3 linked regions of the Neodiprion lecontei genome follow. The protein of the gene in region 1 purifies or fractionates together with the protein of each later gene. This does not show direct contact. Links are inferred from orthologs where the notes say so. Each region holds a gene or a part of one and is shown in the gene's direction. Other genes may lie near its edges.

Region 1 (8,159 bases):
GGTTAGGTTAGGCATCGAAAGGGCGCGCACAGTGGCTGGAATGCCAAATTCGCGGACAAGTTGCAATAAATATTCAGGTTTTTCTCAGGATGCAATGAAAGTCAGTACTCCTAAATTATATTCATCTTACGATTAATGCGATTTGTATGAAAATGGGTACACGAGGATTTTGAAGATTGCTAGTTTCGAATTAGAAATCCGGACTTTGCAGACTCAAAATGGCGAACTCAACATGTTGGTGGAAAACTATCCAATTTAATAAAAATCACTACTCATGCAGGATTTTCAAGGTGCTGATTTCAAATTGGAAGACAAAGTTTTTAAATCTAAAATGGTGAATTTAAAATAGGGTCCACAATAGACTGAGCTCTAATAATGACTCGATTTTAGTTACGGCTTTTTTATATAGGTAGAATAACTGCGATAAAACTATAATAGCAACGGTGTCTCTTCAACGCCTGTCGATATTGTACAAAATGTAAAGAAATAATAATGCATATTTTGCAATTAAGATGCGATTCAAGTTTATTTTGTTGTTATTCTTTGCTTCTATAGTCTTTTAGTTATATGTTTGTAATAAAGGCTGAACAAAAAGAGGAATATTTGTAACGAGTTTATAGCTTACTCGTGTAATAACATTCAATTTGATACAACGTTAGTTATTAATAGAACGTTCAAGTTAAACTATTTTCTCTTCTCTGGGAAATTCGATACTTCCGACACGCTTCTGGGCAATGACGTTCCAAATATCGTCGTTGAGAGAATGCCTTGAAGCACACTCCACACCGCCATTGCCATTGATGGTGATTTCGGGTCCGTTGATGAGCCCTCAAGTTTGATCTGCGCAGAGAAATTTAGCAGTGGACATTGTAAAATGTTTACAACGTAAATGAAAGGAAACAGTTTTCGAATTTCACTTTTCACGGAGTGAAATATTATGTGAAAGCAATTCTGCAAACCTCAAAGGTTGTAAATTTGGAAGATTTGCCGATGTAATTGAATTTTGAATTTGTTACGCACCGATCGGCAAATGATTTTTGGCAAACCGGACACTCGAACGGCCTTTCACCGGTATGAAGTCGAAGATGGCCTTTCAGTACCCAAGGTCGATCAAAGCTCTTCCGGCAATACGGGCAGTAGTGCAAGGCTTTGATGCGTTTCCAAGTTTCCGTGTTTCCGACATCCGAGTAGGGCGCTCTTTCTTCTTCGTAAAATCTTATCGCTTTGATCAAAGTGTTACTAGCCGGTAATCGCATTGTGGGAGATAAATCGACCGACTCGGGGTCGACGCACTTTCCGTCGGATGATTGATTATCATTTTTACAGCATTTCCCGCCCTCAGCGTTTATTTGTGCGTCGTTGATTTTTATAATCTCGCATCTTTCGATCAGTTCTTTGTCGGCATCGAAAACTTTCTTCCTTGCGTTCAAGTCACACAGGTAATTCGTTACCGTCGGCGCGCTTGCAATGACTGTAGACGTTGAAAGTACGTCGGCTGATTCACCGGAATCTATTAACTGCAGGCCTAGTTCTTCCGGAATTGATGTGTTCCATAACATGCTGTTATCTTTCTTAAAGCTGTATCGAGTTACGATTGAAAGTCTTGGACAAGTCCACATATTTATAGACTTTGAAGACACTTCTTTGCTTTGATTTTTTTTTCTGATATCAGATACTGTCGGCAACCACGACACGGAAAGTTCGTTCTCTACGAAAAATTGTGGAATATTATTGAAAATGGGTTGAAAAAAAAAGAAACAATTGATGCTAAGCATCACTGATCTTATAAATGATTAGGGTAAATTGGATCTTTCACAACATAATGGAACTTATCGCGAATGGTCGATTGCACAGTAACATTGTTGATGAAGAAAACAGTGGTGATATAACCTATAATCAAGAAAACGCAATGCGCTAGAGAAAATTTCGCGGGTTTGAGCTGGAAAATTAGCTACCCATATCGCATAATTTCTTCCCTGGAAATTGATCTCCACTTAACCCTGAAAATTTGCACCTACTCTTTAATAATGGTGAGTGGAATTTTGACGTTGCTCCAAGTTTTCTGTTGCGTTGGTTTTGTACGTAAAGAGTTACAGAAATGTACCATTTACAAACCTCGACTGGAACATGATCGGCGAGCAAAATTTTGCACCAATTAAGCAAACAATTTTTCAAAATAAAAGATGAAAACAATATTGAGTGATACATACCGTCATGTAAATTACTTGTTTTCTGATATCTTGTCATCGATTTAATCAGGCAGTGTGGCATGTTGTTTACGTTTGTTTATTATTCTTTTACAATATCAAGGAATGTATTGAAAAATTGCAATTATGTCAAATACACTATTTTCTGTAGAGTAATAAATCTGAAAACTTATTTGAACAAGTGATCCACTATTGGCGTGTTTCGAAATATTCTTCTTCAAGGCCATAGATACATTAATCCCGGACCGCATTGAGAAGGTTGCAAAAAAGAAACACCAGACAATCTGTACCCACGAGTGTGACGATGAGACATTGATTGACATGTCATGTGTCATTATCAATCCCGTCAAACTCTGTAACCTCGGAAGTTGGTACATCAGTCTACGAAATGGTAACCTAATAATAAGAGCCATGATACTTGTGTTTTAGTATGGTGATACGAATTCAAATTACCCATAAGCTTGATGCTTGCGTTACAAAGATTTACGCAAGGTATACTTTTCCGGGCTTGTTCGAAAATAGTTTGGTATTTCCAACCCTAAAAATTCCTTAGAAATGAGACAGAGTAAGCAGGCGATCTGGTAGAGCAAAAAAATCATGAAACTACTTTCACTGCCCAGCGAATACTGGGCAGCTGATCTCTTCTTCCGCTCTCGAGTAATTTGATTCATTTCACTCGACTCAACGGATCAGTTAGTGTTTCACGGATCTATAAATTTTGAAGCGTGCTTTGAAGTATCTCTAAAATGTTGTGAAACGTGTGAGGCTGGGACAGGGAGTAAGAAGGAAGGAGACCGATCTCCATGCTGCAAAACTGGCATTGATTTTTAGGTCTCTACAGCAGAGAGAACTGCCAGTACTTAAAATTCCCTAGGGCAGAGACAGAGCTGTCCATGAACTCGGCAGCGCAAAAGAGATGAAAGATTGCTGACAGTACTGTCCACGGTCTTACATACAGGTCCGGAAACTAGTAGGGTGGGGAATGACTCAGATAATGAGGAAGAACCGTGGTTCCCGTCTTCGCCGTCTGCAGCGCTGCCCCCTCGGGGTGAGCCAATCATAAATCAGATCCGAACAGCTGATTTTTCGGAATCAACAATCCTGAATTTGTTACACCGTTTACACACTTTACACTGAGTTATGAACTGTCAAAAACTTCGACGAGCAGATCATCTTATCGGTATATATCTATATTTATTATACCCCGGGCCACTGGCGCCCCTAGCGGATAGATAGGAAACAAGACCGTGTGCCTTACTAACGGTGACACCCCCTACCACTCAAAAGTGCTGGAGTTACCAGACCTGTATGTAAGATCGTGGTACTGTCAGTAAATTTTCGAACACGGCCCTGGTGTCGCAGCGATAATCTTTCACTCTGTTGTTACTGGTTTCGTGGAACGCCACGCACCGAGCGCCACAAGGCAACCGCTTGTGTTCCGAAAGTGTTTTTATTCTTTTCACGGCACACATCGTGTTACATTCAAAGATAATAATTATTGGCTCGCAATTGACGCAGTGCGTTCATTGTTAAAGTTATTGTAAAAACAATATACCAGTAGCGTCGTGATACAATCCCGTGTAATATATATCCGAAAGTAGAAGGTTATTGTGCCACGGAAGGGAGCCAGGCCGCACAGCCGAGATTATAAAAAGTTGACATTGGAACGGCCATTTTGGCGTGTTGTTTCCGAATCGAGTGCTGTGTTTCAGCATCGATATCCATCAGTTTGAAGGTAAGATACACCTTCTCTCACCTCATTCTATGAACCGTATTATGGAGTTTGAGCCACATTTCTGACTTAAGTTCATAATACATCTTGTTTGGACTCATCAATTATTTATTTCGGTTTATAAATCAAAGTTCAAAGAACTCTGCGCCAGTTACGGTACAATGGATCCAGCTTGGCATAAGATTTTCGCCCGCGATATTCTATTCCGTATTGTTAGTACTTGGTGAAATTTTTCTCACCGTTATCAGCATCTACACAAATATTTCAATTCATGATTATACGTGTACACCTCGTATCTTGCTTGGTTAGATTATATATTTAGAGAATTCTGAGCGAAAAGAGAAAAAGAAGAGAAACCTTCGGTTGGCATGGCATAAAGCCTCGTTTATACACCCGTTTGGCACTGCGGTGGCTTAGTAAATTCATAATGGAGGATGTATATACCAGTTTTGTTGATACACCGTACACATCGGTATATTCATCGTTTTTTATTTGCTCAAATAGCTGGCCTGTAGCCACATGATTTTTTTTACCGAAAAAAGCACAGTCGGTTCATTTTCAAACATAGTAAAATAACGGCAATCGAATCAAGCGTAGAGAGTAATAAAATTATCATATACTTGTTATTGGCAATCTAAAAAGAAAAAATTTCAAATTTTATTTGAAAATTATGAAAATCATTCAGCTATATTTTATATGTTCAGCCATGTACTGTTCAAGGTACATTTCAAACCGACTGCTCGATCTTTGTACTCAGCGAAGCTTGACAATATAAACACATTTTTTCAGCAACAGCGTATGTGTACCTTGAATTGAACTAGTATTCACAGTTTGTGTATTTCTTGTTCAGTTTTGAAATTTTTTTTCGTAGCTCAAAGTACAGCTTAGCGCTATACACACCTTAGCTTTTCTTTGTTTTGCCATACATTCAGACATTTATGATCACGGTCTTTTGCAATACATGAATCTTATATATTGAGAATTGTTTCTCCCTTCTTTTCTCTTGCCATTCGAGCTCTCTTGCACATTCCCTCCCTTTTATTTCTATCTTACTTTATTTCTATCATGAGCTGCTTCATTTTTTGATTTAGTTTCTTTTGTAATTATATAGTTGTTTTGGTAATACGATTAAATTTATATCAACCTCGTGCCAAATATTTTCAGCTAGTCTACACATATTTGTTGAATTAAAATTTACACTTGGTGTTAAAATGAACTCCTTGTACTCTGAATTTTTCACGTTGATTGTGAATATTGTTATTCTTTTAAAGCCATTGTCAAGTACACGTCCTGCTGATAACGCCTACTGTAGATAGCTGCAATGTTTCGATAAAATTCGCAGAATGTACGGTTATTTCATGTTTCACAAGGCTTATTGTTCCGTGTGTCATCTTCAATTTCTATTTTTTGTATTGTTGAATTTCATTCTGAAATTAACAGTTCCTATTACAGGCATAACTTTCATAAATGTTTGTAACAGGTTGATGAAAATAGTAAGGAAATGAAGATGTGAACTTCCGAGGTTTAGGATCCGGGGTATACAAATAAAGTGGATTATGATTATAATTTCATCTTGAATTCTGTCTTTCAGGAAATTTGAGACACTCTAAAGCCTACGATATGATGACCGAAACTCATATTAATTCTAATCACATGCTGAATTCCGGCTTGGGTCCAAAAGGTGATCTAGAAAAGATGGACGATATAGGTTGGAAAGCAAAACTGAAAATTCCGCCCAAAGACAAACGCATCAAAACAAGTGTGAGTCAAACTAAACTAAAATTCAAGATAATAGCTGTTGTAAAGACACTTAAATTGATTTGGTAATGCCAACAGTGCTCATTCAGAATCATGGTTCATAAAATTACTAGGAATATGGAAACGGTTGTAATCAATCTTAGTGTCTGACAATTGGAAAATGATGTAAAATTAGACCTTGATAAAAAAAATTTATTTTGGCTAGTGAATGATACACCAATCTCCTAAAATTCCTTCAAGAATACATAAAATTGAGGAATAACACACTAATTATAACATTAGATTACTTTCTTCATAAACATTTTGAACTATTAGCAGTTGAAAAATTTTCTCCTAAACTAATATAATCAGGCATTACTTGTGATGCAAATCAAAGCTACAAGACTTTTTTTTTGTACATCATAGGATGTTACGGACACACGTGGAAATGAATTCGAGGAATTCTGCTTAAAGCGTGAATTGTTGATGGGAATTTTTGAGAAGGGATGGGAAAAGCCATCCCCGATACAAGAAGCAAGTATCCCCATAGCTCTTTCTGGCAAAGATGTACTTGCACGAGCTAAAAATGGTACAGGCAAGACTGGTGCATATTCAATTCCTGTATTAGAACAGGTAGGAAAAGATAAACAAAGAGACATATAGAAAGTTGTTCGAATTTCACTACTTTAATTATTGCATCTTGCAGGTGGATCCACGTAAAGATGTTATTCAAGCATTAGTGATAGTTCCTACTAGAGAATTGGCTCTGCAGACATCACAGATATGCATTGAACTTGCAAAACACATGGACGTCAAGGTCATGGTTACCACTGGAGGAACTAATCTGCGCGACGACATTATGAGGATTTACCAAAAAGGTTAGCGTTTGTTGAATAGTCCGTAATAGTCTGGAAATCTGTTGACAACCAGGGCTTGTTCATCTTCTCTAATAGAAGTTGAAACAGAATTGGTCTTGTACATTGTTCTGTTTTGTCGATTTACCCAATTACGCCATTCTCATACATTCAGACCCAATGTATTAGATTGCTTTTGTTGATTGTAGATGAATTTCCTTCTTAAGATTCCTAATTTATACGCACTTATTGAAATGTACTTTTCCAGTGCAAGTAATCATTGCGACACCGGGACGTATCCTTGATCTGATGGATAAAAATGTTGCAAATATGGATCACTGCAGAATCCTTGTATTGGATGAAGCTGACAAGCTTCTATCCCAAGACTTTAAGGGGATGCTGGATCACGTTATATCCAGGTATAAACTGTTGCAAATGTGGTCCAATCGCATTTTGGTTTTTCTGGATTCAACTAGAAACGAAAATTACAAAATTCTTTACATCTGTGTTTATAGATTACCACAAGAACGTCAGATTCTATTATACTCTGCTACATTTCCCCTAACCGTAAAGCAATTCATGGAAAAGCATCTGAGGGACCCATATGAAATTAATCTGATGGAAGAGTTGACATTGAAAGGAGTGACACAATATTATGCTTTTGTACAGGAACGTCAAAAAGTTCACTGCCTTAATACGCTATTTTCTAAGGTAAAACTCCCTAAATATCAAAACAGATATGGCAGAAATTAATATTTGAAATTCGTACTTGTCCGTTTTTCGTGTAATTGGTTCATTTCCGCATTTTCCAACTATGGCCGTTAGTAATGTTCTTCAATCTCAAATAACTATAAATCAGGTGACTGAATTCTTATGAAGTTGACGTTAGTATCTTTAATGTAACAGAACATTTGGGAAGAAATAACTATCTTTTGCAATGTCAGAATGACTTTCAGAGAGTCAAGTTTTCAAAGTATGAGCATGACTTGCTTAAGTATGGTTTACTGAATTGCACACAGGCCTAAAGGTGTGAGACAGCGATTATTTACTGAAAAGCATCGGTATAGTAGCATTACCAATTTCAGCCGCATGGAGTTTTGATGATGCTAGTAGTTATTTTCTGAAAACTGCTATTAAATTCAATCTTACGTTTAATATATGGGCACTCGCATATCGTTTGTAAGTCAAAGAAATTCGTTCACATCTTTGAAATATCAAAATTCTGATTTTCTTAAACTCCACCATTCTATCCCAATTAACATAAAAAAAGTCAATTACTCTCTGCTCATCAAACTTCTCTGTACATCCAAAAAAATTCAGGATAAATTTTTTCAGGGTGATTAGTAATGCGAATTATTTATTTATTATATCTATTTGCCTGTTACTTACTCGCTTCTTACTAATAAATACGTAATAACGTGCGTCAAACATTACGCAACACCATTACTGGTCATCCTCCTGCCCTGTCAATTTGCTTCCTTGGTTCCCGGAGCATGAGGTAAATTTTGAACGTTGCCTAAATTCATGTAAATACGCTAACAAAAATTCTACCATTTAGTGTAAAAAAAACTCAGTTATGTATGTATATCCTTTTTTAGGGAAAGTTTAACCAATGATGATTCCCCTTTG
Region 2 (8,046 bases), on another chromosome or scaffold:
GATTTATTCAACGTAAGTTCTTACTATTATTTTTCTTTTTTTTCTTTGCTTTTCTTGACTGTTTAACATCGAAAATTGTCTCTGTTCCTTGCGGTTTTAAATAAAAAACTACTTCTCCTTTATCATGAGGGATCAGATAATTTTTCTTGGCTAATTATTTTAACTCGTGTTATTATATCTGCAAACTTTTACTACTTTTTCGGCGCAAAAACGATCTTACGACTCTTGATGGTTGACCACCTGTGTCTCTTCATGTAATAAGTAACCGTAAGCAATAACGTGAAGATTCCCACGGCCTGTAATAGAAAAACAAGAACGAGGAAACCATTAACAATTGCTGATAAAGCATATGTGAATAGAAAAACAAACTATGATTTGGCAGCAATAAATAGCCTGATAATCGTATCTTTTTGAAAGGTAACTGTTACGATATGTTTTGAATTGTACAGGTTTATAAAATCGTCACCTTGATAAACCATCGCTTTCTGGTATCAAACTCTGGGTTCGATGCCCAAGTAAGGAAGCTGACTACATCTTTGGCTACCTGCGATGCAGTTGCTGGAGTTCCGTCTTCAAAGTCAAGTACCTCGTCATAGATTACCTGTTTTTTGAGAAAAAAATTGGAATAAAATGATCAAATCTGGAGGAGAAAATTCTATAAGTACATTGAATATCATTGGCATAAATTGATTATTGTAAATCAACTACAAGTACAGGCGATTCGTAATTTTGCTGGCTTACCTGTGCCATACCGATAGCTCCACCAGGGAAATAAGGGTTGTAATACTGGCCGTCCATTAGAACGACGCCAGCAGGTGGGTCACAGTAGCCAGTCAAGAGAGAAAAGATGTAATTCTGGAAAGAGATGTAAATGAAATTGATGAAATAAGTCAGAAGGTAGTAAAATTGCGTAGCGTAAAATAGTACCGACCTCTCCGTTGTGTCTAGCGTTTACTATATACGTCAAGTCTGGTGGATAAGCACCATTGTTAGCTGCTCGAGCAGCCTCCTCATTGGGATACGGCGAAGGGACGTAATCCGAGGGTTTTCCTGGCCTCATGTAATATTCTCCCTGGTCATTTGGACCGTCCTTGATCTGAAGTAGAGTTAAAAACACAAGTGAGATGAATGCGAAAGGATGCGTGTATACTACGACATGGAAGCAATTTTATAACTGTTTAACTACTCTCCCCATCCCCGGAGATGTGAAATTCTTGAAATCAGATACCTCTACTATTCAGCGTTACTCTCGAATCTAGAAAGAGGAGCAACAAACCTCATATTCTGCAGCCATTTCCTTAACTTCCGCTTCCGTGTGAGTAACGCCAATGAGCTCACGGAATGCGACGTACTTGAGACTGTGGCACGAGGAGCAGACGTTCTTATATACTTCCCAACCTCTTCTCAAGCTGAAATTGTTATGAGTGCAAGTTACGTTTCAATCTTCCGACTCTACATATATTTTACACTTCTCCTAGAAGTCCAATTAACATCACATTTGATTCAACGTTACCTGGCATGATCGAAGGAACTTAAATGCCCATAAAAGTCCCAGGCATAATTTGGAGCGTGTAATTCAACGCCCTCAGCTTTCACGGAACTTTCCAAGGCATATACCAAAGCTCCAGCACCGCCTGTCGCAACGCCAAGGCATGCTAGCAACTGCAAATTTCAATAGAAACCACTGCGGTTGGGAATTATTTACACATCGAAATGCGGTGAGAAACACGTAACTGACTAAGATATTAAAATTATTTTTACAAACTGTACGATCGCCCTTCGCGTCAGGTTTTCAAATACCAAAAATGTCCAATTGTCTAGTTTCAGGGATATCATGGGATATCATTAATATCCTGGTATATTTTACTCACGGAGTAAAATAAAATCAAACTTCAGGGATGTCGTCATGAATTTTAGGAACTCTAGAGGTTGGGATAGGGCAGGGAAGGACGTTAGACGCTGTGCATTGTTATGTGACGTACCGTTTTTCGTCCCTTTGCCCAGTCTCGGGCGGTCGAGAAGGTGCTGACCTGCAAGAAGATGAAGGAGATATTTCTTCTCGTTATAATGATAAATTCAGAACTGCATAAAATGTGTCAACAGGCGTACATAACAAGAGGCTGAATGTTGCTCTATTACATAACGTGTATGAAGGGAGAATATATCATTTTAAATGGACACTAAAATTGTCAAAGTATCCTCTGGACCTTTGCTCTGATTAAGTAGTTTGTCAATAAACCGCCAGCTATCTTAGAAACTAACTATAGATGACTCGTAATAACGAACTGACGATTACAGACGGTTAAATTATGATGGTAAAACGTTCAGTCAAAGGTTTGTGAGGAGTGAACTTCCCTCGATAGAGAGACAGTCGTGGCCAATTTGTGACTTTGACAAAAGGAACAGCTCGATCGGAATTATCGCGAATTAAACTCTGAGTAGTAAGCCACGATTTTTCGGGTCAAAATTTACCTACTTGATTAAATAGAGCACCATTACTGGCTTTTAAAAGACCCGAACCGCAAACCCTTCCCAGCGATGCCGCCATCTTAGCTAGAGGTGCAGACTGCAAAAGAACACGAGTCGTTGGATGTACCGTTAATTTGACGAAGATATTTTTTCTGCATACATCCCGAGTATAAATACCGGATAAATGGAGGTTGAAAATATTATTAATTTTCGTTCAAATATCGACTATAATGCTATTCATAATATAATTAAAATCAATTATTGTAAGATTAGGAATATTGCGATGACGTCACGATTCCATGTTAGCCAACGTTATCTAAGCGTTTGTCGAACGGTAAATGTGAGAGTCCTAAATTATTGGAAATCATCTAACGCTGAAAATCCGAACAACGATAGATGCCTGAAACAGATTTATCACCGACGCGTAGCTGACCGGTGAAAAGTTTTGTAATAATTAAAAATTTCAGATTAAGATTAGACCAGATTTTCGAGCAGACGACCGACGCGCGTTCGTATCGTCAAGTTGGCAGCCTTGCGTTCGGGTGTCGTAGATCCTCCGCCATCGCGTACATCGTCCATCGGTGTCAGCTGGCGCGTAGAGCGTATAGAGAGTCAGCAGCGCATAGTTTTTGTGGTATATCGTTTCGCGTTCAGACGGTTGTATGGAGCGGTAGATGCGGACGGTATCGGGTATCTAAGTACATCTCGTTGATCGTTAGTAATACATAAAAGTTTCAAGATGAGTGCCGGAATGCCGGAGCTTGGTTCTAAGATAAGCCTAATATCGAAGGCAGATATTCGTTATGAAGGCCGTTTATTTACCGTCGATCCACAGGAGTGCACGATCGCCTTAGCCAACGGTAAGATGGACTCCTTTCTTTCTCGCATCAACTTTGTTTCCGCCGTTTTCATAGTTTAGCCTAACCGCCCGATGCTCGCAGACGACCAGAACATCTTTTATTACCTTTATTTCCCTGTAATTCAACAACTACTCGATATTCCACAAGTAGCTTTTACATTCTCAACTATTGATACCGGTTGATTATATTCTTTTTTGACAGTTCTTCTGTACTACCTTAACTTATCACTTTTTCATATCATATATTTTTCTCTCATTTCTTTTTATGAAAACAATCCAGGTCACCAGAGTTTACGATCCTGCAATCTCGCGTCGCAATCTTTTGCCTATCTCTCTGTCTTTCTCTCCCCCCCCCCCCCCCTTCCCCCCTCACCCCCTCTCTCTCTTTCTCGTTCTTCCGCTGTGTTATGTATTTCCATTCTTTACGTTGTTATTCCTCTTTCCGAAAATTTGTCGCAGTTACGTTTCATCCGCAATGATTGAAATAACAACAATTTCATTGCGATATTTCAATTAGTTATATCTACTGTAATTTCTCTCTTCTCTTCCCCCCCCCCCCCCCCCCCCCCCCCCCCTTCTATTATTTCACTTCTCCATCATGATATCCTAGTCAAAATTACGTGTATCACCTTCAAACGCTTGTTGTGAAGAATATATTTCAGCACAGTCGTATGATGACGGGCTCTCAGGTTCACCTAAGAGATTGTATTTTGTTTTTGTTTTTGTTTTTTTTTTTCTCCCTCCTTCGAGCGTTCTATCTATTCAAACGAGAACCGTTTGGATTTGAAATATCCGCTCAACGAATTCTGGGATTAACGTAAACGTAAACATAGTTGGAATCGATTTTGTGTATAACGTATCACATCATTGATAATCGTCAATCAATTGTACTTTCTGATTTTCTTACAAAGATATATGTTTTTGCTCGATTATTTTCAAATAACAGTCTTGCATTTTACTCACAAGTTTTCCAATTTCTCTAATATCAATAGAGAGAGTAAAATTCAGACAATGTTCAATAATTTTCATTCATAAATTATCGTTAATGTTATTATTATTATTTTTAAGACACATTCCGACGAGTGCCAAATACTCACTAACGATCGATTACTATTTTTCGTTAAGACTGTTTTTATTCGTTACAGTTCGTTCCTTTGGGACTGAGGATCGAGAAACCCAGTTTCCAGTAGCGCCACAAAACCAAGTCTATGAATACATATTATTTCGAGGATCTGACATTAAAGACATCAGAGTCGTCAACAATGTCAGCACCATTCCAAACGATCCAGCCATTGTCCAGGTAAAATATTGCTGATTCAAAGATCATTTTTGAAATGAATTATTTTGCTTCATCGCTCAATTTTACTAACACTTGTGTAAATTGTCCAGCTTTATTACGGCAGACGCGGCAGCTCGGTTACTTGTTACATAAATATTACCAATTCACAGATGACAGTACAGCCCAACATGGGTCAGCCGTCTTACCAGCCACAGCCAGGATTCAACCATCCGATGATGGGTCAAATCGGACCAATGGGCGGCCAGTACGGAGGCGGATACGCGATGGGTGGAATTGGAGCCATGGGAGCCATGGGTCCAGTTATGGGTATGCCTGCAGCTGGACGAGATCCTCGAGTCGCTATGAACAAACAACCAAGTGAGTTGGGCCTGGGCTCCACTGGAGCACCCAACGTCGTCTCGATCCCAAACTCGATAGCACCGGGCAACGTTGATCAAATTCAAAAAGACCAATCTTTGGAAGATGGTAAACTGTTTTTGCTATGATCTTGCTACCCGGCATGCCTGATGCTTTTCAGCTTGATTTGGTATAATTGTTTATTTATTCTTCACTTTTATCTAACATCTGCTCGCCTCTCGTTGCTTTTTTACTTCAACCAAGAGAAAAAGAGTCAGTCGTGCCTTTTTTATTATGAACGGTTTAACGTGGACCGAAAAATTACGGTTCTTGCTGCAAAAATAACATTACATTAATGCACTTCTGCTTTGGCTGGTCTCTGTACATATTTTCTTGTCTTTCTTTTAAATCTGCTTCTGCGAATAGATGCTTTTTTATTCTACGAATTTTATTACATCTATCTCAACTCGCTACATTTGAGAAATTTCAACTCATTTTTTGCATTTGAAACATGACGCGGATCGTATAAAGAATTATTTATATCAAATTCTCGTTATTTACATGTGCAATGTTTCAGTCATGAGGTGAACTGTACTTTCAAGTTTTGGTATTGTTCAGCTCACTCTTGGAACAGCTTTTAAAACTCCTTAACCAAATCGTATCGATTCAATAGTGCTTTGTCACTGTTCCATTTGACTCTTTTCGTTGCATGTTTAATCTGTTTCTTCTTCAACTAGGAACAGTATAGTTTTGCCTACAAACAAACGAAAGAACAAATATAGCAAAACCAGTTATCATTTACATTATGGTATAAAATACGTGTAACTTTCCTTAATCGATTGCAACTTTACTTGTGCGATCCATCTTTCCATCTATCTCTATCTCTATCCACGTTGTTGGCATGTATTCATTTATTCTCAATTGCAAATTCTTTTAAATGATTTATTTATTTGTTTTTTTCATTTGTCATGTTCCGAAATCTAGCATGAATTTGTAGAAAATCACTATGAGATCATTTTAAAAGAGAGTACACCGATGCTTTAATATAATTGTTCATCTTCCTTGCTACCGTTTCATACAGTTTACCATTTTACCTTCTAAATAACTATTACTAACCATCTCAGCACCGTGTGATAATTGTGACCTTCAATTATAACGTATTACTCAAGATGTAGAACAGTTTCAAAATTTTTGAAACAACATTCACTGTCTGTCTGGTTCTTTTTTTGTCGGAAATCAGCTGAATAATTCTTCAATTATCCGGTGCTGTAGATAACTAAAACTAATTGACAAAAATGCATCTTCTGCGGCTTATTTAATGTGACAGAGCTGCGGAAGATGTAAAAAGTCCAATATCTCATGGCAATACACCAGAATTGTTCAAGGGCATCATTGATCGCATTAGAACAGGATGTCTGTCTTCTCTTGCATTATTGGTAAATTCGTCTGCCTCAAGATTGCCTCAAAAATATTGTTTGTATACGTGTGGAAAGTCAAAGGATAAAACAAAAGTATCCCAATTAAAAAATCGAATTTTCCCCCCTGCTACACAGGTGTGTTGGACTTGATCAGCGGAGGATCTCGATCGACTACTCCCACTTCATCCCTGATGACTAGGAAAAGTCCGACTATGGATCAGGGCACGCAGGTTGGCCATCAACAGCGGTCGACGAACGCCAACATCCACAAACCGATGAGCGACAAGCCCAACGCTAGAACCATACAACCATCTTATCGCGATCGTGAAAGGTTGGTAAAAATATGACTTGTACTTTCATTCTTTAAATATTCTATCATTGCTCATTCATTTTCTTTAACTGTGCAATTTACCTATGTAAATAAACTTTCGCAGTCATGGCAGCGGGCGAACCGGCAGCGGCATGTCCCAGTATAGCGACGGAAAGCGTGACAATCGTGAAAAGCAGGACGGAAATCAACTTCAAGGACACGGACATCCTTCAGGGCCGAATCACGCCCAGATGCATCAGGCGGGACGCGGAAATCGCGGCGGTTGGATAGCTCGAGGAAATATTCGCGGACGAGGAAGGGGACGCGGCGGTGGTGGCGGAGGTACCTTCAGACCCCCGCAGCCAGGAAGCATAAATAACAAGCCGAAGAACATGTTGAAGTTCGAGAATGACTACGACTTCGAACAAGCCAATACGCAGTTCGAAGAGCTAAGGTAGACGCACTTGAACAATACAATTCGCTGTTTTCGAACTAGATATTGAAATGCCCGTTTTTGTAAATACATTCAAGTAATATATTTTAAACCGAGTATATTAAAATTTAAAGGATTTATATTCTCGGTGAGATCTGGTTTGATACATTGCTTATTAACATTTGGACAAATGAGTTGCCATATAATTTATGACGGAGTATGCAGTTTGATTGAAAATTGCAGGTCCCAATTGGCTAAGACTAAGATTGACAACGGTACTGACAATGAGAAAAAAGACGATAGCGGCAATGAAACTGGAGCGGGCGAGGGAGAGCCTGAGGAAGAAACGGACGTCGTACATTACGACAAGTCCAAATCATTCTTTGACAACATTAGTTGCGAAGCTGTAGAGAGGAGTAAAGGGTAAGTTCCGTCACGCATTTTACAAATCGTTATAAAACAACGTTCTTTGCTATTTTGCCAAAAGTAAAAATGTTTCAATAATACGGGAATTGAAATTCTGGAAGAATTTGACGAATTTACTATTCTAACTTATTCAGATTTCTGTCTGTATCTTTTACTTGCAAGTGACCTTCTATGTATGAAAAGTGCCGGATTCACTTCATATCAATTGAAGCGATGAATGTGAATTTCATACTAGATAAAAATGGTGTAACACTGTAGCTTCCGTACTTTTGTTGTGCGCGGATGGATCTAGTGTAGCACCGATACTGAAGATATTTTGTTGTACGTTCATTAATTTAGTGAAAAGAATGAAAAATAAAATAGAAGAAAAAATCAAAATTATTCATTACAGAAGATCTCAACGCACGGATTGGCGGACGGAGCGTAAGTTGAACTCTGAGACATTTGGAGTCGCCTCGACGAGACGCGGCGGGTTCCGTGGACGTGGATACTACA
Region 3 (8,169 bases), on another chromosome or scaffold:
AATATTAAGAGCTCAAATTTTAACAGGCATACTTTTATACCCAAATGAAATTTTTTAACCTGTTTCCGGGGAAATTATTTTTTATCTTTTCACACACCCTAATAAATATGCTCCTCCTAATAGGCGATTAAAATTTAAGTAATAAGAGTATAATGTGTTGTTGAATTGATCGACGCGCATGTTCGTGTATAATATACATATAGGTATAGTAGATATTTATTGCGCAATATAATAAAATAGTAATATAATGAAACATATTTATTTTTTAATTTGAAGTCGCAATATCAGAATGTTGTTAAATAATTATACAAAATATCTATGAATATATATTATATACATATAAACTTAATGTATGTATATTACGGTTACTTAATTGTTTAAAGACGTTATCATTGTTTCGATTATTATTTTTGTTATGATTACAATGATATAGCAATATATGACTTCGTTCATAGAAAAAGACAAGACAACCTAATAATCATAATGAAACTAAATAAATGAATATATAAGTAAATAAATAAATGAATAAATAAACAAATAATCATAACCGTTTAACCTCACAGTACAGGGGTAAAAGCGTAGAAAAGTTCTAAAAGAGCTCATATACGTACACGTATAATTCACGATATAAGACATATTTTCTAACTAATAAAAATCAACCTGCCCGCGACGCTGCAAAGCTATTAACCTCTAACTCACGCTCCACGTCGTAAATCACTGCACGCGAGACTGTAAAACTTGATTGATACTCATTGATTGAAGCAGCGGAAGACTCTAACGTAAACAAGAAAAAAAGAGTTGTAGAAAAACTTGAACGTATAAGTTTAAAATACTGCTTTAAAATTTCAAATATACGATCCCCACTCTGGACATATACTGCATGAGAGATAAACGAATTATTAAAAAAATTAATTTCAATTGCAAAGCACATACAACGTTGTTACTATCAACGGATTCTGGTCAATCGCAAACTAATAACTATGATATCTACGTAAATAATTATCTATGAACTAATTTAGATATACCATATTATTACTCGGCAAATTAGCGAGTTTTTCGGGGAACAAAACGACGGGCGTATTTCCTCTTGAATTAAGTATACATATAGGTATATAATATAATGCCGAAACGATATATTAAACTAATGAAATAATACCAAATACCCGTAAATGTTGACGATATAGTGATATTACGTATTTAATCGGTATACGAAACGAGGCAAATTAGATATAATTTATCGTTGAATATTATAGGTAGGAGGAGTCGAAATACTTATGACGAATAATTTTCGACCTAGGTAAAACTCTGTAACTTCCAAATTAGGGTTGGAATGAAAATAGCTTATTGGGTTCTTGGTAAAATTGAATTGATTACCATCGTTATGAGTTTGACAAAAAAAAGAACCACTTCCGGCATAAAGAGGACAAAATTACTTTGAAGTAACACCTTTCGCCAGTGTCCAGGCGCGGGACAAGAATTCCAAATTCTCTGATTATATTAAGCATCGTGCCAACATTATTCGCCTGATAATTAAACAATTTTTCTGAAAATCTCGAATAATTTTTCATTGAAAGACAAATTAACTTATCATAAATTAAAATTATTTTATAAAATTAATTATGTTTTAACGGATAGTTCGAAGAGAAAAGTCATATGCGGAGTCATACCTAAACTATCGTATGAATTCAAAACCAAAAAGAGAGAGGAAAAACAAACAACCGGTATACACAAATAAACAGCCTTTCCCAATTATGGCCGGACAATTGTTCTCGTAGAATCCTTTATTTCATCGCAGAAGTAAGAATTGACTCCTCGGTTGTGTTTCCGCATACTCTTCGTATCGTCAATGTTCTCACAATCAGATATTGTTCAGATTGTAAATTCTTCTTTTCTATGGTTTGCCAAAAACATTTTTTTGTACTTTTATACAAGAAGTTGATTTGAAATATCGGGAAGGCTGATTTGAAGCTCAGATTTCGGATTGTTCAATTATATGAATAAAACAAATAAGTATAAACTGTCTGTATCTATAAATATAGGTATGTGATTTATTATCACGGCAATGTATGCACAATCAGTCAAGAATACAATGAATCACACTCGCACGTATATAGTCTGTATGATGTATGTACAAGCACAATACCATGTTGACTAAAGAAAAGTTTAAATGAAATGTTGATAGTACTTTTAAAACAAAAGTATAAAAATTATATCACGTATAACATTCGCAACGTTACTCTAAGCACACCGTAATAAAATAAATTGACGAGTTTTATCGTTGTTCTTGTTTTAGACCGAACAAGTGTAGATAAATTATACCTCGATTAAGAGATAATAAAAGTGATTATTATAATGATGATAATAAAGGAGGATATCGTTTTGAAAAGTTAAAGCATATTTCTTACGAACCATCGCCAATGGTATTTGATATTTTTCATTTCCTGTATTGTGGCAATTCCGTTATCCTACAAATCGATGGTGACAATTTCAGGAAAAGCTAGGATGAAAAAAGATTTAAATCACTGACTTAAACGACGTTGATTCGGATATTTCAACTGTCATCACCGGGTAAAGCTCATATCATTACGGTCGGAGGCCGTAGTAACAGATGAGTTTTTCCCAAGTTTAGTCTTCGGCATTTTTCGGTGATAAACAAGTCAAGCAAACGTGAATTGAAACAAACACAGGTGAAAAGAATCCTGTACATTGGAAGAAAATTTCAAATTTTCAAAAATTTCGCTATAGTATATTTTTTCGTCTTCGTGGAACACTCTGCGAATTGACATAGCTAAACGTGAACCCGCCAGAACACTTGAATACTTTGGGATCCGTTCGGACTTGACTTCCGGTTTCATACCTATTACAGCGCTTATGCGTGGTGGAAATCGGAACTATCGGAGAGGGCAATAGATAGACGTAATATGTATAATTTTGAGGTAGCACTCGATATTCCTTCTTATTAGCGTACTTTGGGCCATGAACAAATGATTTGATTATCGTATTTCAAATTTCGTACCATTCTCTGATTAACGTGGCAAATAATCAATGGCATCTATGAAATGAGAGGTTGAAACACTGGTTGAAAACGCGGCTTCAGGGACAGTGAATTTGACCCATCGCGATGTGTTGCGTTCTCTGACGGGGAATACCGAAAGCCTGTCGGGAAGTCCGTGGTTAGTCGTGACCGCCATGACAGCTGATGTCTTTTCCAGCGCTTGACGTTTAGTCGGATCATGACATTTTGCGAATTTAATTTTGACAAATGGCAGACTCTTTTTTCGGATTTGACACATCTCTCGCTGTAAGTTGTATTTGGCTATATTATTTCTCGTTAAATTTGTTCGGAATTTTCCTTCGATTGGAAAGGTATCGCCGATGGGAAACCCTTGATTTTTTCGCGTTTCGACCGCGTCGCGGTACAGCATGGATCGAAAATTTGTTATTTTTATAGCATATCGCGCGGCTAATGCCTTTTATGATATTTCACGTCGACGTTTCACAATCTCTCATCCTTCTTACGCTCGCATGTACGGAAATTACGCTAAACATTAACCCTGCACCAGCCGAGATGCAAACAACGTTTTCACGGATGTGAACTCTGATACGGCCACGAATGTACTATACATAACCTAAGTCTTTCATTATCCCCGCCCCGGAAAGGTCAATAACATTGAATGTCGCTAACCGTGAAAATTTCATCAAATCTCGCAAGATTTTTCTGAGAATTTCAGCGGCTTCCAAGCTCAACCGTCAGCCATAACTCATAGGTTATGTTTCTATAATTTCGCACGTACAACAGTTTCAAAATTAATTTGTCAACTCAGTAAGGTGTCTCTGTTTGCACTTCAATGCTCTGATCTCTTTTTCTCATTCAATATTTATTTGTTGAAACCCAGAGTTCCAATTCGTCAAAATACCAAGTAATATGATCTCGGGTTATTTGCAAAATATAACATCCGATATTACTGGCACGTTCAATCTATTGCATGTGTTCTCTACTGGATTGATGAATGTTTGTCATTTGTTGTATGATTCCTCAAATTTAACAGGGTGATGGCCTAGAAGATGGATTTGATGGACCATTGGAAGATGAAGATATTATTGGTGAAGAAGATGAATATGATGCATTGAACGATGAAACATTCGGAGCGGAAGCAACAGGTGGAGATTGGGAGCAAGATCATGAGAAATTGGCCCGAATCACCGAGTCCTGTAGACAGCAGCCGCCCAGCTTACCTTTGCACCGGGTTTGTAACTGCTTGTCTTGGGCAAGATTCCGCAAAATTTAAGATTTTTTACAAGCAGTCTACTTTTCAAGTTTAATGATTGATTTTAATCTTGTATGATACACAGATTTGTTATTTTGCCCCGATTTGGAATACAAAAATTCAGATTGTTTTATTATATATTGCATTTACTGGATAGTTCAATTATTAAAATCAAGATTGATGCAATTTAAAGCACAATATTTTATTCTTTCATTTTTAGAATGGCATTGAAATAGATATCGAAGATAGCTTGTCACACTTGGTACTAGATGATAGAGATGGGACAACGCCACGACCAGGTGTTTGGGACAGCCCAACGAGCTTTCCTATGCCCAGAATTCAACAGCGTCCTTCGATTTCATCTACCCTTAAAAATGTCTGCACTGTTGAGGAATTGGAGCGAGGTCTCATCGCTAGTAGACCGCCTCCAGGTCTTGCTAAACCTCTACCTCCTCAACTGCATCTACAACAGCACCATCAACAACAACAACAACAGCAGCAGCAGCAGCAGCAACAGCAGCAGCACCATCATCAACAGCAACAGCAACAACAATTACACTATCAGCAACAGCAACAACAACAACAGCAGCAGCAGCAGCAACAACAACAACAACATTCATCAGGTGGACCATTCTTGTTCGATTCCGTACCATTGGGTGAACTTCAAATGAAAGGCCTACCACCTCCTCGTTTTCCCCCAGGATTAGGCCTTCCAGGTCCTCGTGTCATCTTACCTCCTCAAGTGAGACCACCACCACCTCAGTTTATGCAGCACCACAGACTGCTTCCTAGTGAGTAGAACCATCTATATATTTTCAAGCATTTTCATTATCATGTTGGTAAAAAAATTTTGTATGTGAAACTTGACTGCTCCAAATCGTGTCTCAATGTTTTTTTCAGATCAACAAGGTAATATGCTAAGGTACCCTATGCCTCCTCATTTGATGATGCCACCAGGAGCTCAAAGGCAGCCTCCACCACCTTCATTTCGTAATAATTATCCTGTAAGTTATTCATAACATGAAAGAATACAGGTTTGCTACAAATCTGTAAAACTTGGAAAAGTCAAAAAGTTTTGAGTTCAGTAAGGTTTTGTTCTTGATATTGAATCTGAAAATAATATATAAATATTGGAATATTATTCATGTCAAAATTTGTAGCGATCCTAAAGTAACGAAAAATTTCTCATAAAGATTAGTTCGTGAGTAGTTGAGAGGAGTGAAAGCAAAGAGAAGGAGTAATGTAACACCTGAAATTGAAGTGGTATTTGTTTTACTTTTAGCAACCACCTTATCCAGGACTCCCTCCACCTCAATTACTGCGTCCTGAACAAACGATGATGCCGCCATTTGCTAACAATCAAATGAACCATCATCAACAGCACTCTCCCCATTCAGGAAATCAGCGAACAGTTCAGAATAATCGACCGTTCCATTCCAATGACCAGCCATCTGGTCATCAACCACCTACTCACCAGCCATTTTTCAAAAACAATCAATACCCTCATCATAATCACAACCGAAATAATCAACGGTATCATCAACAGCACCACTATCAAGGTATGAATGGATCGAGTGGTCCAATGGGTGACTACGATGAGTACGCCGGCCTTATGAGTAATCGTGAGAAACAATGGCTGATCAACATCCAGCTGTTGCAACTGAACACCAACCAGCCATATGTCGAAGATTATTATTACACTGTATTTTGCGACAGGCAAAACAAACTAAACGAAAATCAGGAACACAAGGACAGAAGGCATCATAACAACAATGGCCACCATAGAGATTCCAGGTAGATATACTCGATATTTTTTCGACATGCAAACCAAACAAAGCTCATAAATTCGATAATAATATTTTATTCTCTAAATGTCAATAATTTGTATATCACAACAGGGATAGAGATCAGCAACAACATATACTGACAAAGGTAGTTTACACGCCCATGCAGTTTGAAAATTCGCTTGGTAAGCTTCAATGTGGTAGTGTGACTGCTCCTCGCAAGATAATTGACATGGACGTGGTTCCAAACAACGATCCTCAGCAAGCACCACATTCACAACAGAAAGACTCGAAAAAAACACGTCAACTTCTACTAGAGATCGAAAGAGTAAGTTTGAAATGTTTACAATTATTCAACATCATGTTTCAACTAGTTATTCTCTTTGTTCTTTTTTTTCCAGTTGTACACGTTGCAGTTAAAGCTCGAAGATCTGACTAATCCTTTAGCTCTATTAGCAGCAGCTGAACAGCAACACCAACAACAGCAGGAAGGAGAAGGAGAAAAGAAACCAATCAAAGAGTCCAAAGTTGAACTGATTGGCAAACTAATAACTTCGTTTCTGCAAATATTGCGAAATGATAAATTAGCCGCTTTGCTCAGCATTCGCAAAGGAAAGGTCAGTATTTACATGAAGGGTCTAGTTTAACACTGTAGAGTAACAAACGTCATACATCGATTGACAAAATGGTCCTTTATGTGATCGGAAAATCAATTGCAGATGTTGTTACTTCGACTGCTGCCACACATGAGCGTAACTGAATACAGCTCTCAGCTAGGCGATCTGTGGACTGGATTGGTTCGCGGATTGGTAGTTATAGGACGCAGGGATTCTCATTTACTGACAAACTTTTATCCTGAATTTCGAAGGTGGTTACATACCATAACTGATTTCGGCTCTGTTTTACGCCTAGCGAAGGCATTGGTTGAGTCAGCATCTCTACCACTAAAAAACAACAGCCTAGCATTTGCTTTAACAAACAAGGTTTGTACCATTTTTGACTCGCAATTTCTCGTCTGATCGTTACATATTTACAGTGGTTTTAACTTAATTTGGTTTATTGTCACTGCAGTTTGGAGTATCGGTTATAGCCTCGGTGTTAGAACAAGCTGAAACATTATCTCCAGTTGAGGATACGATGGCTGGCGATTGGTCAACTTTTGTTATGACACTAGTAGAGACGATCGGAGTCACGCCTCCCAGCGTTGCACCATGTGAACCGATTGCGGCTAATACTCTTAATCAACATTTAAACAGGATTCAATCATTGAAAATTGAAAGGTATGCACCATTGGAACTACTGTTGACCGATGCAAACCCTTCACGATAGTCTCAATTTTAAAATATGTAATTTGAGAATTTTTTTTCTCGTTCTTATTCTTTTTTTTCGCGACTTTCCGTACTACTTTCTAAAACTAAAATGGGAAATGTTGAAGGGTCAGTGTTTTTGTTACCTCTGAGTGATCTTAGCGAATACATAGGTAATACTGGATATCATAAACCGGTGTGAAGTACAGTGAAATGCATTTTACGCCTAGTTTGAGATAGTGTTGAAAAAAAATATTCTCTTTTCTAAAAGATATTGAAACACAGACAGTTGTGTATAGCTGTTGATAGAATTTATATTAATGCTGTTCAAACTATCTTACTTTTTTATGACGAAATAGCAAAATCTGCTAGTTACTCCATATCGGAGATATACATATTTAGAAGAAAAAAAAGTGAGAAAATAATGATAATTATCCACACTGTTTCTACTGATATCCAGTGGTCCGGCTGAAAATTTCGAACAAATATTTCAAAATTAATACACCTTCGTCTTCGCTCTAAAAAATATGTATTAATGTATTGATGGACTAAAAATCAAACAATTGAATGAGAGTTTTGATATAATCGAAAAAATCTATTTGTTACCTCTCACGTTTTTTAATTTAAGTAGCATAAGTCACATGACGCTTAACGGCCTTTTTTTTCCTAATATAATTTTTTTTCTAGTAAAACTTAGCTATGCTGGTAGATTGTACAAAACGTGTTGTATTGGGACAACCATTTCAATCTCTGTTTTAAATAGGGGCATCAAAGACAAAAAAGGTCTCTCAAAAGATCTAAGATAATGTT

Evidence for each region. Proteins that work in one complex are often made in the same cells at the same time.
Region 2: the proteins of ATP-dependent RNA helicase me31b (region 1) and protein LSM14 homolog B purify together in Drosophila melanogaster (affinity purification with western blotting; 6 studies listed by BioGRID, with this or other methods). This does not show direct contact. The link is inferred for Neodiprion lecontei from reciprocal best matches to the Drosophila melanogaster genes me31B and tral.
Region 3: the proteins of ATP-dependent RNA helicase me31b (region 1) and protein PAT1 homolog 1 purify together in Drosophila melanogaster (affinity purification with western blotting; 5 studies listed by BioGRID). This does not show direct contact. The link is inferred for Neodiprion lecontei from reciprocal best matches to the Drosophila melanogaster genes me31B and Patr-1.

What each region holds. Positions count from the first base shown.
Region 1 is NC_060261.1:14,905,184-14,913,342, reverse strand, and holds the start of ATP-dependent RNA helicase me31b, read left to right. Parts: upstream 1-3,555; 5' UTR 3,556-3,942; intron 3,943-5,530; 5' UTR 5,531-5,559; coding exon 5,560-5,700; intron 5,701-6,102; coding exon 6,103-6,309; intron 6,310-6,382; coding exon 6,383-6,554; intron 6,555-6,798; coding exon 6,799-6,949; intron 6,950-7,045; coding exon 7,046-7,241; intron 7,242-8,159. Other genes in the region: zinc finger protein 2, read right to left, coding at 675-840, 1,021-1,708, 2,211-2,271. UniProt on the Drosophila melanogaster protein: ATP-dependent RNA helicase which is a core component of a variety of ribonucleoprotein complexes (RNPs) that play critical roles in translational repression and mRNA decapping during embryogenesis, oogenesis, neurogenesis and neurotransmission.
Region 2 is NC_060266.1:24,399,990-24,408,035, reverse strand, and holds the start of protein LSM14 homolog B, read left to right. Parts: upstream 1-3,024; 5' UTR 3,025-3,208; coding exon 3,209-3,329; intron 3,330-4,473; coding exon 4,474-4,628; intron 4,629-4,777; coding exon 4,778-5,093; intron 5,094-6,517; coding exon 6,518-6,713; intron 6,714-6,816; coding exon 6,817-7,146; intron 7,147-7,350; coding exon 7,351-7,548; intron 7,549-7,942; coding exon 7,943-8,046. Other genes in the region: cytochrome c1, heme protein, mitochondrial, read right to left, coding at 192-296, 467-601, 742-855, 932-1,096, 1,277-1,409, 1,514-1,662, 1,983-2,030, 2,477-2,548.
Region 3 is NC_060263.1:35,074,263-35,082,431, forward strand, and holds the start of protein PAT1 homolog 1, read left to right. Parts: upstream 1-3,147; 5' UTR 3,148-3,262; coding exon 3,263-3,301; intron 3,302-4,049; coding exon 4,050-4,247; intron 4,248-4,488; coding exon 4,489-5,059; intron 5,060-5,168; coding exon 5,169-5,272; intron 5,273-5,550; coding exon 5,551-6,062; intron 6,063-6,166; coding exon 6,167-6,380; exon of another isoform or gene 6,381-6,381; intron 6,382-6,453; coding exon 6,454-6,669; intron 6,670-6,771; coding exon 6,772-7,035; intron 7,036-7,123; coding exon 7,124-7,381; 3' UTR 7,382-8,169.